2 linked regions of the Stegostoma tigrinum genome follow. The protein of the gene in region 2 interacts with the protein of the main gene of each other region in a biochemical or structural test. Links are inferred from orthologs where the notes say so. Each region holds a gene or a part of one and is shown on either strand. Other genes may lie near its edges.

Region 1 (7,555 bases), on a different chromosome or scaffold from region 2:
CACTAGCAGTCACCTTAGATGAGCAAAGAATGTAGAGAAAGAAAGGTTAGAACTTGATGCAGGTTTACAAAAAGATCATTTCACAGTGTGTACAGTTCTTTCTGGAAACATGTCCTTCCACACTTAAATCGTCCACCTTTCAAAATCCTTCAGAGGTTATATTGCATTTATGAATCTGCCTCATCACCAGAGTGGACAATTGACACAGTCCTCACACAGGGCTCAGTGCATCAGACAGTTGGATCAGAACATTTGCTGCTCTTGTCCCAGACCAGGCATTAGCCTCAGAATTGATTTACTGAGAACAAAACTCTCTGCCCAATTGCATTTCTCAACCTGAGAAACTCACTCACTTTCTCAGCATCACATAAAAAAATAGGAACAGGAGAAAGCCATTTGGTTCTTCCAGACCATTTACCATTCAATGAGATTGTGGCTGATCTTCTACTTCAAAACCATTTTCCTGAAATATTCGCATATCCCTCAATATCTTTAATATCTAGAAGTCTATTGTCTTGAACATGCAGGATAGAGAATTCCAAACACTCACCACAATTCTCAATATTCTTACTCATCTATGTCCTTTTGGGGAAACCAAGCGGAGGCTTGGGGACCACTCTGCAGAACACCTACGCTCGGTTCACAATAAACAACTGCACCTCCCAGTTGCAAATCATTTTAACTCCCTCTCCCATTCCTTAGATGACATGTCCATCATGGGCCTCCTGCAATGCCACAATGATGCCACCCGAAGGTTGCAGGAACAGCAACTCATATTCCGTTTGGGAACCCAGCAGCCCAATGGGATCAATGTGGATTTCACCAGCTTCAAAATCTCCCCTCCCCCACTGCATCCCAAAACCAGCACAGCTTGTCCGCCTCGCTAACCTGTTCCTCCTCTCACCTATCCCCTCCTCCCACTTCAAGCCACATCTCCATTTCCTACCTACTAACCTCATTCTGCCCCCTTGACTTGTCCATCCTCCTCAGACTGACCTATCCCCTCCCTACCTCCCCACCCATACTCTCCTCTCCACCTATCTTCTCCTCTATCCATCTTGAGTCTGCCTCCCCCTCTCTCCCTATTTATTTCAGATTCCTCTCCCCATCCCCCTTTTCTGATGAAGGGTCTAGGCCTGAAATGTGAGCTTTTGTGCTCCTAAAGATGCTGCTTGGCCTGCTATGTTCATCCAGCTCCACATATTATTTGGGATATCAGCTCATTTCACTCCTCTCTGAGAAGGCTGCGCGATGAAGCAACACAGAGCAGCCAACTCTCGAAATGAGAGCCGACAGCAGCTTTGCAAACAGCAATCACTTGCAATCTCTTCTAGTATGGACAGGAGCCATTCTCCATCAGTCAGTCCGGAGTACAGTGACAATTTAATTCCACGTGCATCACTTGCATCTGAATGACAATGCTGGGAGTAATCCAACAGTTTCACTCGTAAGGAGCAGCAAGTGTCATTCAGTGTGATGTCTTGTTTACACGGTAAAACAAAGCTAACAACAACTTAAGTATCCAAGTCTCAATGCGCGCTGTTTAAAAGTCATGAGGCTGAGCATGCTTGGAAGCCAATTCACATCTAATCTGAAGATCAATGCTTGGATTCAACTCTAACATCAGCATATTACAGTACGATAGTCATCTCCTTTAGTGTTACCACTATCAAATCTATCACCACTTCCTTCTTTTGGAATACAGTTTGTAATGAACTGGAACCAGTGCCGAGAAAAGTGCTCGTTGGCGTGAATTTACATAGCCTCTGCTGTCAACCAGCCAGTCTGCCTGTGAACGGGTTGCAAAGATGCCAGGGGCTACACATGGTGTTTCAGCATGATCAGGTTTATGGTTCACCCAAGACTCCACAGGTTGTTGACTCCCCTTCCCAAGCATCTCTACCTACACGTAGCCAACAGCCATTCAGAAATAGGCTACAATGCCACCACCATCAAGCCCAGTTAGTAGTAATAGACTGCCTTCATGCAGACAGGGTGGGAAATCAAACACCAAAGGTACGGATCTTACTATAAAATAAAGGTGACCATTATAAGTTGCATGTGCCAATAAACTACTTTCATCCAGGGCGGGGGGGGGGGGGGGGGGCGGGGGGGGGGGGGGGGGGGGGGGGGTGATACCATGCACTTTACCTAATCAGGGAGGGGCAGGATGTCTTGGATCTCTCATGTCCAAAATGAATTGAGGGGGTAGTGGCAAAAAGGCAGATCCTCTCATTGAAAAGGAAAGCAGGCTCCCTGATCCAAAGGGATTGGGCAAGCTAGCCCTCCACCAGGCCAAAGAGACTGGGCAGATCCCACCACCACCATCCCCACACCCCTCAGGCCAAAGAGACTGGGCAGATCCCACCACCCCCACACCCCTCAGTCCAAAGGAGATGAGCAGATCCCACCACCCCCACACCCCTCAGTCCAAAGGAGATGGGCAGATCCCACCACCACCATCCCCACACCCCTCCGGCCAAAGGAGATGGGCAGATCCCACCACCACCATCCCCACACCCCTCAGGCCAAAGGAGATGGGCAGATCCCACCACCACCATCCCCACACCCCTCAGGCCAAAGGAGATGGGCAGATCCCACCACCACCACCCCCACACCCCTCAGTCCAAAGGAGATGGGCAGATCCCACCACCACCATCCCCACACCCCTCAGGCCAAAGGAGATGGGCAGATCCCACCACCACCATCCCCACACCCCTCAGTCCAAAGGGACTGGGCAGATCCCACCACCACCATCCCCACACCCCTCAGTCCAAAGGGACTGGGCAGATCCCACCACCACCATCCCCACACCCCTCAGTCGAAAGGGACTGGGCAGATCCCAAAATCCCTCCCGCAGTCCGAAGGAATTGGGTTGATCCTGCCCCCAGTCTAAAAGAATCGTGCAAATCCCACACCCCGAATCCAAAGGAAGGGACAGATTCCCCCCTCCCGACCCCCGGAGGCCGCGCTCCCCTTCCACCGCAGGCGCGGGGTTCCCGTTTTCCGAGGCGGCCGCTCACTCATCCCGCCCCAATACCTGGAGCCTTGTTGTGGGGCAGTTTGTATGTTGGGCTCGGGGGGCCCGAGCTCCGGCCTCTCAGTCTCTGTCTCCCAGGCTCCTGTCTCTCAGACTCCGCGGGAAGGCCCGGCTCCCGGACATGACTTGGGAGGCTGGCGGAAGTGGCGATCTCGCCGGGCATGACGGGTAGCAAACGATTCTCGCCAATCAGAACCCACGCTGCTGCGGATGGCGGCGGCAGCCAATCGCCAAGCGGGAAATACAGACCAATCAGGGGTGGGGCTGAGGTGAGGTGGCGGACCATAGCAACCATCCTTGACCCAAGCAACCATCCCATAACCTGACAACCCTCCATAGCTTGGTAACCATCGCAGACACTAGCAACCATCCCATAACTATTCCAGATAGTAGCTTGGTAACTATACCATAGCCGAGCAACCATCCCTGACCCAACCAACCATCCCATAGCTTGGCAACCATACCATAACTTGGTAACAATACCATTTCCTGGCAATAATCCAATAACCTGGCAACTATACCATGCCCAAGCAAACATCCCACAGTGTGACAACCATCCCATAGCTTGGTAATGATCACATACACACCCAATCAACCATCCCATAGTTGAGCAACCATCCCATAGCCTTACAACTGTTCCATTCCCTTGAAGCCATACGATAGCTTGGCAATTATACTGTAGAATCCTACAGAACGGAAACAGACCCTTTGGTACAATTTGTCTGAACTTTCACACCGACCAGGTTTCCCAAACTAAACTATTCCTATTTCCTTGTGTTTGGCCCATATCCCTCTGAACTTTTCCTATTAATGTACCCATATAGATTGGTAACTATATCATCGCCTGCGAATCATCAATATCCTAGCAATCATACCATGTCCTCATAACTAACTATACTATAGCCAAACAGCCATCCCATAGCTTGGTAACTGTCCCATAGTTGAGTAAACATTCTATAACCTGGTAAGCATGCCATAGCCTTGTAACATTCCCTTACCCTGGCAACCATCCCATAGCCTGATAACCATTCTATGACTTGGCAACCATGCTGTGCTCTCAGTTCCGAGTTCAGGTAGAGCCCATCAAACAGTATAGTTTCCTCCTGTCCCAGTACCAGTGCCATTATGCCATGAAATGGAAGTCATCTTCACTGCATCATGTCTTCAAGCATTGTTCACACTTTTAAATTTGCCCCAGTGTCAATTTGCATATGACTCAGATAATAATCCGAAAATTGTTTAATCTTGAAATCCTGTACTTTAACTCCCAGTTGCTGGTACTCTACCAGCAGGACCTCTTGTCTGCTCTTTTCTATATTGCTGGCCCCAACATGGACTACAACAATTAGATCCTTCTCGCTAAAGAGCCACAAAAGCATCAAGAGCTTTGAAAACAAAAATTGACGTTTTAAAATCAAAGTCTCAATGATCCAGGAGCCAGCATAGGTAGGTACGCACTCCATACAGAAAAAGGAAAAGAATAAATGCATTTATGCAGCAGGTCAGAGGCTAGGAATCCTGCAGTGACTAACTCACCTCCAAAGCTTATCCACCATCTACAAAACACAACTCAATGGAAAACTCACCATTTGCCAGGAGTAGTCCAGTTCCAACAAGTCTCAAGAAGCTCCCTCCCTAACAGCACTGTGCGACTACCTACGGAAAATGAAATGCAACGTTTCAAGAAGGCAGCTCACTATCACCTTCTCAAAGGTAACTAGGAACAGGCAACAAATACAGGTCCAGCCAGCAATACCTGCATCCGTTAATCAATATTCTGGGTGATTTATCCATCCAGATGTTTAAGTTGATTGTGTGCTTCCAATCAAGTGAGCTGTTCCTTGATGGTGCAAAGATTATTGAATTATTGCAGCTGTATCCACCCAGGCAAGCTTCCCATCACACCTCTGACCTGTGCCTCGTAGAAGATGCAACGGCCTTTGGGAGTCTGGATGCAGAATTCCAGCTTCCAAAAAGTTATGCAGCTGTTCCACTTGGGTTTCCAGTCAAATATGACCCTTGGGTTATTGTCAATACAGTTTAATATATTACAATGAGTCAGTTGCACTTGAATTGTTTTTGGTGAGATGTTTGCAATAAGTTTGTATGAAGTGCATTAAATAAGTTTTGCTATTAAGTTTGTCGCAAACTTAGCCAAATTGATTATACTGTTTGCATCACATTGGATAATTTATCTTTGATCAGTTATATCTGACTGATCCTGTTGAATGAGTTACAGCAGATTCCTCAAATAAAATGATTTGCATTGGACAAGTTGCATTGAGCGATTTGTAGTCAGGGCTTGTATTTATGTAGCACCCACGGTATTTTGGAAGATTCCATAGCCAACTTGAGAGCAGCAAACTCCCACAAACAAAATTGTGATTAATAAACGACCTGATTATCTGTTTTTGTGAAATTCATTGAGGGAGAATGACGGGACACTAGGGACAGCTCACTTGACCTTTTATAGCATGGGCTTCGGTTTAGAATCATTTCCAAATAAAACACTTCTACTACCTCAGCTCATCAGTACCGCTCTGGAATATTCTGACTTGGAGACAAAAGTTATACCAACGGAACCACACTTAGAACAGAATGCCTACAGTGTGGAAGCATTCAGCCCTTTGAGTCCACACTAACCCTCCCAAGAGGGTCCCACACAGATGCACCCCATCCACGTAACCCTACATTCCCCATGGCTAACCCCATAGCCTGCATATCCCTGGACACTATGGGCAATTTAGCATGGCCATCCACTCTAACCTACACATCTTTGGACTGTGGGAGGAAACCGCAGCAACCCCACGTGGACAGGGGGAGAATGTGCAGACTCCATATAGGCAGTCGTTCGTGACTAGAATCAAACCCAGGTCCTTGATGCTGTAAGACAGCGGTACTAAACACAGCCACTGTGCCACCCCAAGTTGACAGATAGATGAGTTGCATTGATTAAATGTTTTTAGAGGGAGCTGTGCTAGGTGAAGTGAATTGGATTATTTACATTCAGGTGGTTACCTTGCAAGACGTTTCTTGGATGTTCTCTAATTGTGGGTGTGCGTGAGAGGGAGAAAGTGGAAAGTGTAAGCAAGTTACATTGCATCATGTCGGATGGGTTTCTTTGAGAACTTCGGTAGCTAATTAATTGAATTGGGCGACCTATGGAGAATGAATTCAATTGCATAAGTTGCATTGTGTGACTTCTGTTGGGCAAGTTGTTTTGAGCAAAGCGACATTTTTTGTTCCTACTATCTCTGTAACAATTGTTTTTGTTTGAGTGTCTTTGGGAGCTGCGCTTGCTGAGTTGTGTCGGATGAGGTGCTTTACATAATTTTGCAATGTTAATTAATTGCATCGCGTTGGGAATAGTTTACAGCATGAGTCTTCGGGGTGAATTCTGCTAATTGAGCTGTGTTGGGTGAATTACAGCAGGTTATTCATGTCGCATATACTATATTGCATGAGTCGTATTGCGTGTACTGTGTTACGTAAGTCGTGTTTAGTCAAGTTGTATTGGAAGAGTTACTTTAAGATAATCCGGCTTGCACTTAGCTAGCACCTTCGTGGCATCCCGAAGTGCTTTAAAGTCAGTTATGCATTAAAAAATACACGTATGGTATTGTGGAAGATTCCGCAGCCAACATGAGAACAGCGAGCTCCCAGAAACAAGGATGCGATTAGTAAATGACCATATCGCCCATTTTTGTGAAATTCGTTGAGGGATAATTACAGAACACTAGGGAGAGCTTTCCTGCCTTTTTATATCATGCTGCTTTCGTTTAGCATCGTTTCCAAAAATAAACACTTCTGCGACTACTTTTGATTCAGATGCACTGTTATGTTGGAGAAACTTGAGAAGTTGCGTTGAATTATATGGAATGAACTGCACTAAGTGCTTTTTTCAGTATTAAATTGTTGGGCGATGTTCTGCTGGATGAGTTATATTTTTGGTGAGTTTGATTGAGTGAGTCCTGTTGTGTGAGCTGCAACTGTCCGCTGCCCATGTCCTGACTTGTACCAAATCGTGTTCAACCATCATTACTGTGCTACTGATCTATGTCTACAGCCAGTCAAGCAATACCTCAATTTAAAATTCTTCTGTTTGTTTGCAAATCCCTCCAAGACTCTCCCCTACCCCCACCCTCGCCCCCACCATCTCCGCAATAAGTTCCACCCTAACCATTATACCAGACATCTGCTCTGATCTAATTATAGCCCCTTGAGAATCCTTGATCTTAATCACCGCCCCCCCCCCCCCACCATTGTTTGTTTAAGAACCAGACGCAACTATTGGTTAGACGGGGTCCAGGCATAGATTCTTCTGGAAGAGTTTCACTTGGGGTGGTACAGTGGCTTAGTGATTAGCACTGTTCTCTCACAGCACCAGGGACCCAGGTTTGATTCCACGATTGAGCGACTGGCTGTGTGGAGTTTGCACATTCTCCCTGTATCCTCAGGGTGCTTTGTTTTTCTTCCAATATCCAAAGATGTGCAGGTTAGGGTGAATTCGCCATG
Region 2 (8,002 bases):
TAATAAATGACAAAACAGACTTGAGGACCCACACTGCATACTCCTGTTTCTGTATTGCAGGTTAATTTAATTTCTGTGTGCTGAATAGTCATTTGACCAGTTACTCATACCTCAAAAGAAAAAGCAATTGTGTATGAGCATGCATACTCATACCAAAATGACTAGAGAATATTCAAAGTTTCAACATCCAAACACTCTTCAGCCCTCAATGTTTTAGCATTAACCGCACTCACATTAACGTGACCTGCAGAGGCAAACCAAAGTGAACCTACCCTGACTGGGGGACTACGTGCCTGCACTCGATGAATGCTCTGAAGATCCCGCAACGCAGTGCCACAGTTGGGGACAGAAATAGCTCCGTTGCTTTGTACTCTGGTGGTACCATTTACGTTGTTATTGCCGTTGATCCCACTGCTACCCGGCCTCCTCGGCCGGTGTTTAATACCATCCAGTAGTCGCACCAGCAAGATGTTGGTGGGGAGTTCGTCAACGCTGCAGTCCACCAAAGTTCGGCACTCCGGGCAGCGCAGTTCGCTCCGGGAGTTTAAGATGCCCTGCAGGCACCGTCGGCAGAACGTGTGCTGGCATGGCAACACCTTGGCCGTGGCATCCAGTCGCTCTAAGCACACGGGACACTCCAGCAGGTCCAACAAAATGGATTCGTCCATTGTTTCGCACTCCGATTCCAAAGCTTCAGTCCGAGGCAGGTCTCCAGAGAAACCTCATTGTAACAAAGGTTCCGCTGAGTGATGAACAACCTGATAGCCAGCAACCTCAGTCACGTCACATCCATTCCTTTCCACTTCAACTTCAAATAACTGTTTCAGAAACCAAACAAACACAAAAATAATGGGGATACAGGATTATGGCAGTACAGAACAAGCATCTTAAAAAAAAGTTCCTGGCCATAAAAAATTAAGGAGAAATAAGGTGATTATTCTTCCCCATTAACTGCATCAAAGTTACATATAATGATTTGCTCTTTCTCAAAAAATATCTACAGAGGTCTCCTAAATAAACAACGTAGCAACAGAGCTTTATTAGCAATAAGGTTACACATAAGCCATAATGCAATGCTACTCCTTCGTCCAAAATAATCTAAAAGTCAGGTTTTTTTTAAATCGGGGCTGCGAACGACAGCATGTAGGTGGGACTAAACATTTAGCTACCGAAGAATGCCGACAGAAACAGCTGGATGGACCGAATGGTTCCGAATAAGAGCTCCAGTCCCTTCTGCAGAGCCCGGCAGACCATCAGCTGATTGCTGGGGAAGCCGCGCACACAAGCAGCTGGGGGGGGGGCAGCGACTTACCCCGAGTGGAGCGAAACGCGAATGCGTGTCGCTGCTTCAACAATATCCCAGTCTTTCAAACAGTCTATTCCCCACCCTCCCCGCCAGCTCTACAAGCTCCAATCCCAATCCAGCAAACCGCAGGGAATGACATGACGCCAGAGCGAATTACTCACTCTGCAATTGGGGGGGGGGGGAGAATACAGACCATTGCACCGCCGCCTTCAGCACAACTCCCACGTTTTCCCCCCCCTCCCCTCCCAACCATCCGAAAGGGCTACACATTCTCAGGCAGCTGCAATGTTTCAAAGGCGAAGAATCGTCCGCCAGCGTACAGGCAGATTCACGGGGCAACTCTGCAGATAAAAAAAGTGCAGGAGAAGCTGCCGGCGACCGTTGAGGCTCGTTCCTGCAGCATCGCAGAGGCGGCTGGTCACAGACACATAGCCCAAGGCTTGTGGATTTGAACCAGATCCACTCCCATTCGTTCACTTAGTTCTGAGTGAGATGACTTCCCAAATTAAGGTACATCACACACACAACACAGCGCTTAAAAAGGTTTAACACACTCGACTACACTGCAATATAATTTGGACAAACTAAATTCCGAGAGAACAAAAATCATGTCTTGGAAATATTCCTAAACTCACTGAGATTACAGTCAACCTTTTGGGAATTGTGACAAAAAAGACAATGATTTGAAAGCTTTACACTAATGGGCGCCCTAATCAGTGGGGAAGAGTGAGTTTCAGATCTCGTCTGTCAATCTGTCCGCCTTTCAGCACAGTATCGAGCGACCACTCGGGATTTTGGGCACTTGATTAGAAAGGACCGTGTCGCATTCGGGATTTCTTTGTCAGAGACTTGCTACATCGTTAATCAGTGGAAAACAGCGGGAGTGAAGGGGGAATTTTAAGACATTTCGGGGCAGAACCATGGAGAGGTTCTCGATTAACATTTTACCCAAAAAAAAACTTGCTGGTAGAGAAGGGGGATGTCGGTGGGAGTGGAGGAAGAGAGAGAAGGGGGATGTCGGTGTGAGTGGAGGAAGAGAGAGAAGGGGGCTGTGGGGAGGCGGGGTGGTGAGGGGGTATGGTAAGGGGGTGAGGGAGGGTGGAAAGGGGGTGAGGGAGGGTGGAAAGGGGGTGAGGGAGGGTGGAAAAGGGGTGAGGGAGGGTGGAAAGGGGGTGAGGGAGGGGGTGAGGGAGGGGGTGAGGGAGGGGTGAGGGAGGGGGTGAGGGGGGAGGGAGGGGGTGAGGGAGGGGGTGAGGGGGGAGGGAGGGGGTGGGGGTGAGGGGGGGAGGGAGGGGGTGGGGGTGAGGGGGGGGAGGGGGAGGGTGGTGGGGGTGGGGTGAGGCGGGGGGGCTGCGGTGAGGGAGTAGGGTAAGAGGGTGGGGTGGCGTGAGAGACGGGCCGCCACTTCCCCTTCACACTAACCTCGGGAGTCAAAACACAACCAGCCCCGGGAAGTGCCTCTTGCCTCACTCAGCCTCCTCTCTTTAATCCCTCCTGCCTCTCCCCTTGACCCCTCTCTCCTCCTCTAATTCTCCCTCACCCCCATCTTTCTGTCTGTGTCTGTTTTTCTCTCTATGTTTATGTTTATTTTTATCTCTCCCTCCCTCACCTCTTCTTCTTTCTCTTCTCGGAGCCGCCGCTGTTGCCAGGCCGCCCAGCGACCGATATGCGCAAGCGCCGCGAGCAGGGTCCACGCCTGCGCAGTGGGCTGGCCTGCGGCTGGAGAAGTTACGAACGCTACGGACCACTCCCCCCCCCCCCCCCAAACAAACAAAGACAAAACTACAAACTAATCCAAAAGTTTTACAACAATAGTGCAAAGTCACCTTATATCTGCCGAGCCACTCACAAATAGGACTGGGAGTAGTTTAGTAGATTAAATGTAACTTTGTAAAGAGCAGATTCACACTATTTATCCATTCTGACAGGGGCCGGAGCTGCCCTTGAAATGAGTGGCTTGTGAGGGCATCTCAGGGGACACGTGCTCCATGTTGCTGTAGGTCTGCGGTCACATGTAAGCCACACAGGTGAGGATGACCAAAACCTACAAAATTCTAACAGGACAGGTATATGCAGGAAGGATGTCCTCAATGAAGAGAGCCCAGAACCGGGAATGCCACAGTCTAAGGGTATGGGCTAAATCAATCAGAATTGAGGTCAGGCAAACTCTCTTCACCCTGAGAGTGCTGAGCCTGTGGCATTTTCTACACAATCAAGGCCAAAACATTGAATAATTTCAAGAAGAAGTTGGATATAGCATTTGGAGCTAAAAGGACATTATGGGGAAAATCAGGAACAGGCTGTTGAGTTGATGAACAGCCTTGATCACTTGTATGGTGGAGCTGCCTTGGAAGGCAAAATGGACTATTCCACCTCCTATGTTAATATCCTTCCAAACATTGGTGAATCAGGTGTGTTTTTGTACCAACCAGCAGTTATTCTGATTAGTTTTATATTCCAGATTTAATAAGTTGCAGTATGTTGCACTATGTCACAGTACCAGAGATCAACGTTCAAGCCTTGGCCAACTGTCTGTGTGGAATTTGCAGATTCTCCCCATGTCTGCGTGGGTTACTGCCAGGCGCTCTAGTTTCCTCCCACTGTCCAAAAATATGCAGATTAGGTGGATTAGCCATGCTAAATTGTCCATAGTGACCAGAGATGTGTAGGTTGTGGATTAGCCATGAAATTTGGAAGGATACGGTGGGGTGGGGGTGGTCAGATGCTCTTTGGAGGGTCAATGAGGACACAATGGCCCAAATGGCATCTATCTGCACTGCAGAGATTTTACTGTTGTCTGATTTCTCCTTAAACAAGTTAGACAACTCCAACCAGAAAGTTATGAAATAATTTGCTTAGGTCTCTCATCATACCAAAGCAGTCAAATCAGTACAAACACAGAACCAATGCAAAACAGTCCCATCTTTATTAGGAAAAAAGTTACAATAATCTTCGATATTAAACATATCTTCTCAAATCCTATTTAACCCTTAAGGTTACAATAATTCCTGAGTTTCTTGTAGATTTATGCAGTTGCTCACTCTCTGGGTCTGTGAAGCTGCTTTCTTTCTTTCTCTCTGTCTCTCTCTGGATGGTCAGCTAGTCTCTTTGGAAGCCCACAGATGATTTCAAGAGAGATTCCAAGAGGCAGGTGAACCCTGTTTTTACACCTTTTAGATGGTTTTCTGGAACTTTGTATAGTTCTAACCAATCAGGGATATACACATAATAGTTTGAAGCATTCAATCATTTGGATGGCACGCCACTGTTAGTTTCTTTGTTTAGCAGGACCCGGTGCCTTTCTGTCTGGGCCCACCTTTGTTTAGTGGATAAGTTGTTGGGGATGTCTGTCCAAGATAACTGTTGTCTTTTACATTATACTAATGTCATTAGCAGCAGTTGTGTTTGCACTGTGTCTGATGGGTGGGTTTTGTGACTTCAGAGTTCTACTTGTACAGTGTACCCAGCACCCTTGTTGTTTGGCCAAATTAGCAATCTATCTGTGTTTTAGCAGCCAGGAGGCTGCTACACTATGATCTATGAATACTCTCTCATTCCAGTCATGATGGCACAAAAGCCACAGAGGTTTTCTTCTCCCATCCCCTTAAATGGTCTGGTGAGCTCTGGTAACAGTGAGAACAGCAGTGGGTTTTGTCCACTTCACAAACTTTTATCCTCTTATTTTACACTATGTGCTTTTTCTGACTGAAAAACAAATAGAAAGACACAACCTCTGCTCTAGAGTCAGAGACCTGCTTCAAAACCAGGACCTGTTCGAAGATTGCAAAACATTGAGAGAGAACCTTGCTTATTTTCTTTCTTCGTTAATTCACAATGTGTTCTGAGCTTCCAATCCTGTTGCAGTTAACATTTTATTTACCCTTTGCAGCTAACAAGGGCATTTCCTTCAACCAAATGAATCTTGCAGGTATATCGCACTGAAATTAACCAAAGGTTTCACAAAATATATTTGACCACCACTCCACTCAGCCAGCAGCCAGACAGACAGCCCCAGCTTCTTCAATCTATCCACGTAACACCTGGAGCTGGTTTCATTAATCTTTTCTGCAGTCTTTCAAATGCCTTAGCAAATGAGAAGCTGTTTCACCTTGTTCAGAACAGTAGAAACAGAGACCATGGCATTTACCTGAAAAGGGGAGTAAATTCATAACTAATCTACAGATAAACTATTTATATTGACCAAGGAGTAAATCCTAGGAACAGTCCCACCAGGGCATTGTTATTCAATACATCCACCCCTCATTACAGGTGGCTAATTGTACTTCTGTTGAAATAAATAACGAGTCACAGTCAAACATTGGGCATGTCATTTGCAAACTCATTCTCACGAAGTATGCATGTGAACTTTAACCTGTTTGGTTGTTTGGTGTAAAGCTGTGTACGTATGGACACCCTTTTAGATCAATATTTGTGCACCTTTGTGGATTTAAATGTCAACTGTGTCAACTCTTGCCTCTGAGTCAGAAGGTTCAAGTTGTACTGCAGGGCTTGAGCACAAAACTCAACAACACTCTCACATAGTTCTGTTAAAGCATAGCACCCTCAGAGGTGCAATCTCTCAGAAGCAATATTAAACCGATGCCTTGTCCACCTCCTCAAACATCATCACAAAATCAGATGACCTGTTTGTTATTGAATTTACTGCTTCTGGGAGTTTGCTGTGTGCATTTTGGCTGCTGCCTTTCTTAAATTGACTTCAGAACTATTTAATTAGCTGTACACACTTTGTCATGTCTTAACATTGTGAACATTGCAAGAATGCTTTTTGTTGTAAAAGCAAAATACTGCGGATGCTGAAAATCCGAAATGAAAACAGAAAATGCTGGAGAAACTCAGCAGATCTGGCAGCACCTGTGGAGTGAGAAACAGGGTTAATGTTTAAGAATCTGGTATTAGTCTTCTTCCAAACAAGAATCTTCTTTCGTTTCAACAAGAGTCATATGGGACTCAAAACATTAACTGTATTTCTGCTTGCACAGATGCTACCAGACCTGCTGAGATCCTCCAGCATTTTCTGGTTTTATTCAAAATTTTTTTGTTGTCTGCAAACGTATTTGTGGCACTTTCCCCAGAATCATCATGGCTATGCTCATGACTTGTCAGCAATCCGTACTTGTCAACAGTAGTGCGACAGAGATAGAAACATAGCAACAAGAAGAGGCCATTCAGCCCATCGAACCTGCTCTGCCATGTAATATGATCATGGCTGACCGAACTCCTCAATGAGTTTTACCTCCTCCAGACACTCAAAGGTTAATCAACCTCTACATTAAATATGCTCACAAAGATTGTGTTGATTCAACCACATACAAATGGACATGAACACTGCATGTAAAAGAAGCATGTCAAAATTATCTGGTTTCCTGGCTAGTAAAGGGAAGCTTAGAGGCTCAGTTTGCAGTGAACTTCTCATAGCATCATATTGTACATTTATTTTTCACAGTGATTAATTCTATTAGTTCCCTCTAATCAGAGCTGTCATCAACAGGAAAGTGTTAGCAATGCATTAAAGGCGAGACCACAATTCCCCAACTCCCTTCAGCAAATGTGTGATGATATATTTGATACAGTACAACACCGCTAATCCGGGCACTGTTAGCCATCAGTAATACAAGCAGTGTTCAGTTGCTTTGAAGAGCATTTCACAAGGCTGTGCACAATGGATTGGTCAAACCACATTTAGAATATTGATTTCAGTTCTGGGCAGCTTGCCATGCACTCATAACATGTTATAGAAAAGAGCAGCAAGACTGGTCTCCGGTGTAAAAGGATGAGTTCCAAGGCAAAGTTAGAAAATCTTTACAGGCCTGATAAAAGGTCATTAACAGGAGACCTTATCCAATGATTTGTATGCTTTGATGTGGTATACGTTCTTTAATACTACAAAGTTGGACCAAAGGATAAAGGTGGAAATTGTTAAGGAGTAAATTTAGAATATATGGAGCAGCAGAATGATAAACATCTGGATTAAACTCCAAAAGAGGTTGAATCCCTTGGCTAGAGAGTGTAGAACTTAAGGGCACAGACTCAAAATCAAGGGGCTGATCGTTTAATAATGAGGCATGAAAGAAATTCCTAACTCTGGAGTTCATACACTTTGGAATTCTCTACCCCATGAGACACGGATGCTCATTGGTTGAGTATGTTCAAGGCTCTGATACAGTTTTGTACACTTGGAAATTCAAGTGTGTAATGATCAGGCAGGAAAGTGGTTACAAAGTCAAAGATCACCCATGGTATCATTGAATTGAGGAGCAGGTTCATGGGGCTACCAGATAGTTTACTCTTGTTACCACATTTTTGTATTTTACAAAGTGATGTGATCACCTCAAAACACTTGACTTACCCAAAACTTAATTCATAACATGCTGGCTGCTTTCAGGTAGATAAGGATGGATGGCAAAGCCATAAATACTGATTTTTTATGTTCCTGCTATTTTGGAATTGAAAGGAAAATGAAAGCAAACAGATGGTTACTAAGGGAAGAGCAGGAAAAGGCATGGGCACGCCAATGGAAACAATGGTTGACAGGGACAGTTTTGCTGCATTTGTCGGAACATTATCTTCCTTTTTCACCTGGTAATACCAACCACTCTCAGTCTCCCACCCAGTCCAAGAAAAAAATCTCATTGATGAATAAGAATGGAAATTGCTGCAACAGCTCAGCAGGTGTGG

What was found.
Region 1: the proteins of sh3rf1 (region 2) and RAC-beta serine/threonine-protein kinase form a complex in vitro, tested with the Homo sapiens proteins (2 studies listed by BioGRID and IntAct, with this or other methods). The link is inferred for Stegostoma tigrinum from reciprocal best matches to the Homo sapiens genes SH3RF1 and AKT2.

What each region holds. Positions count from the first base shown.
Region 1 is NC_081392.1:8,806,126-8,813,680, forward strand, and holds the start of RAC-beta serine/threonine-protein kinase, read right to left. Parts: upstream 3,183-7,555; 5' UTR 3,041-3,182; intron 1-3,040. UniProt on the Homo sapiens protein: Serine/threonine kinase closely related to AKT1 and AKT3. All 3 enzymes, AKT1, AKT2 and AKT3, are collectively known as AKT kinase.
Region 2 is NC_081356.1:127,442,614-127,450,615, reverse strand, and holds the start of sh3rf1 (E3 ubiquitin-protein ligase SH3RF1), read right to left. Parts: upstream 3,002-8,002; 5' UTR 2,916-3,001; intron 1,362-2,915; exon of another isoform or gene 1,313-1,361; intron 1,248-1,312; exon of another isoform or gene 1,170-1,247; intron 819-1,169; 5' UTR 669-818; coding exon 273-668; intron 1-272. UniProt on the Homo sapiens protein: Has E3 ubiquitin-protein ligase activity. In the absence of an external substrate, it can catalyze self-ubiquitination. Stimulates ubiquitination of potassium channel KCNJ1, enhancing it's dynamin-dependent and clathrin-independent endocytosis.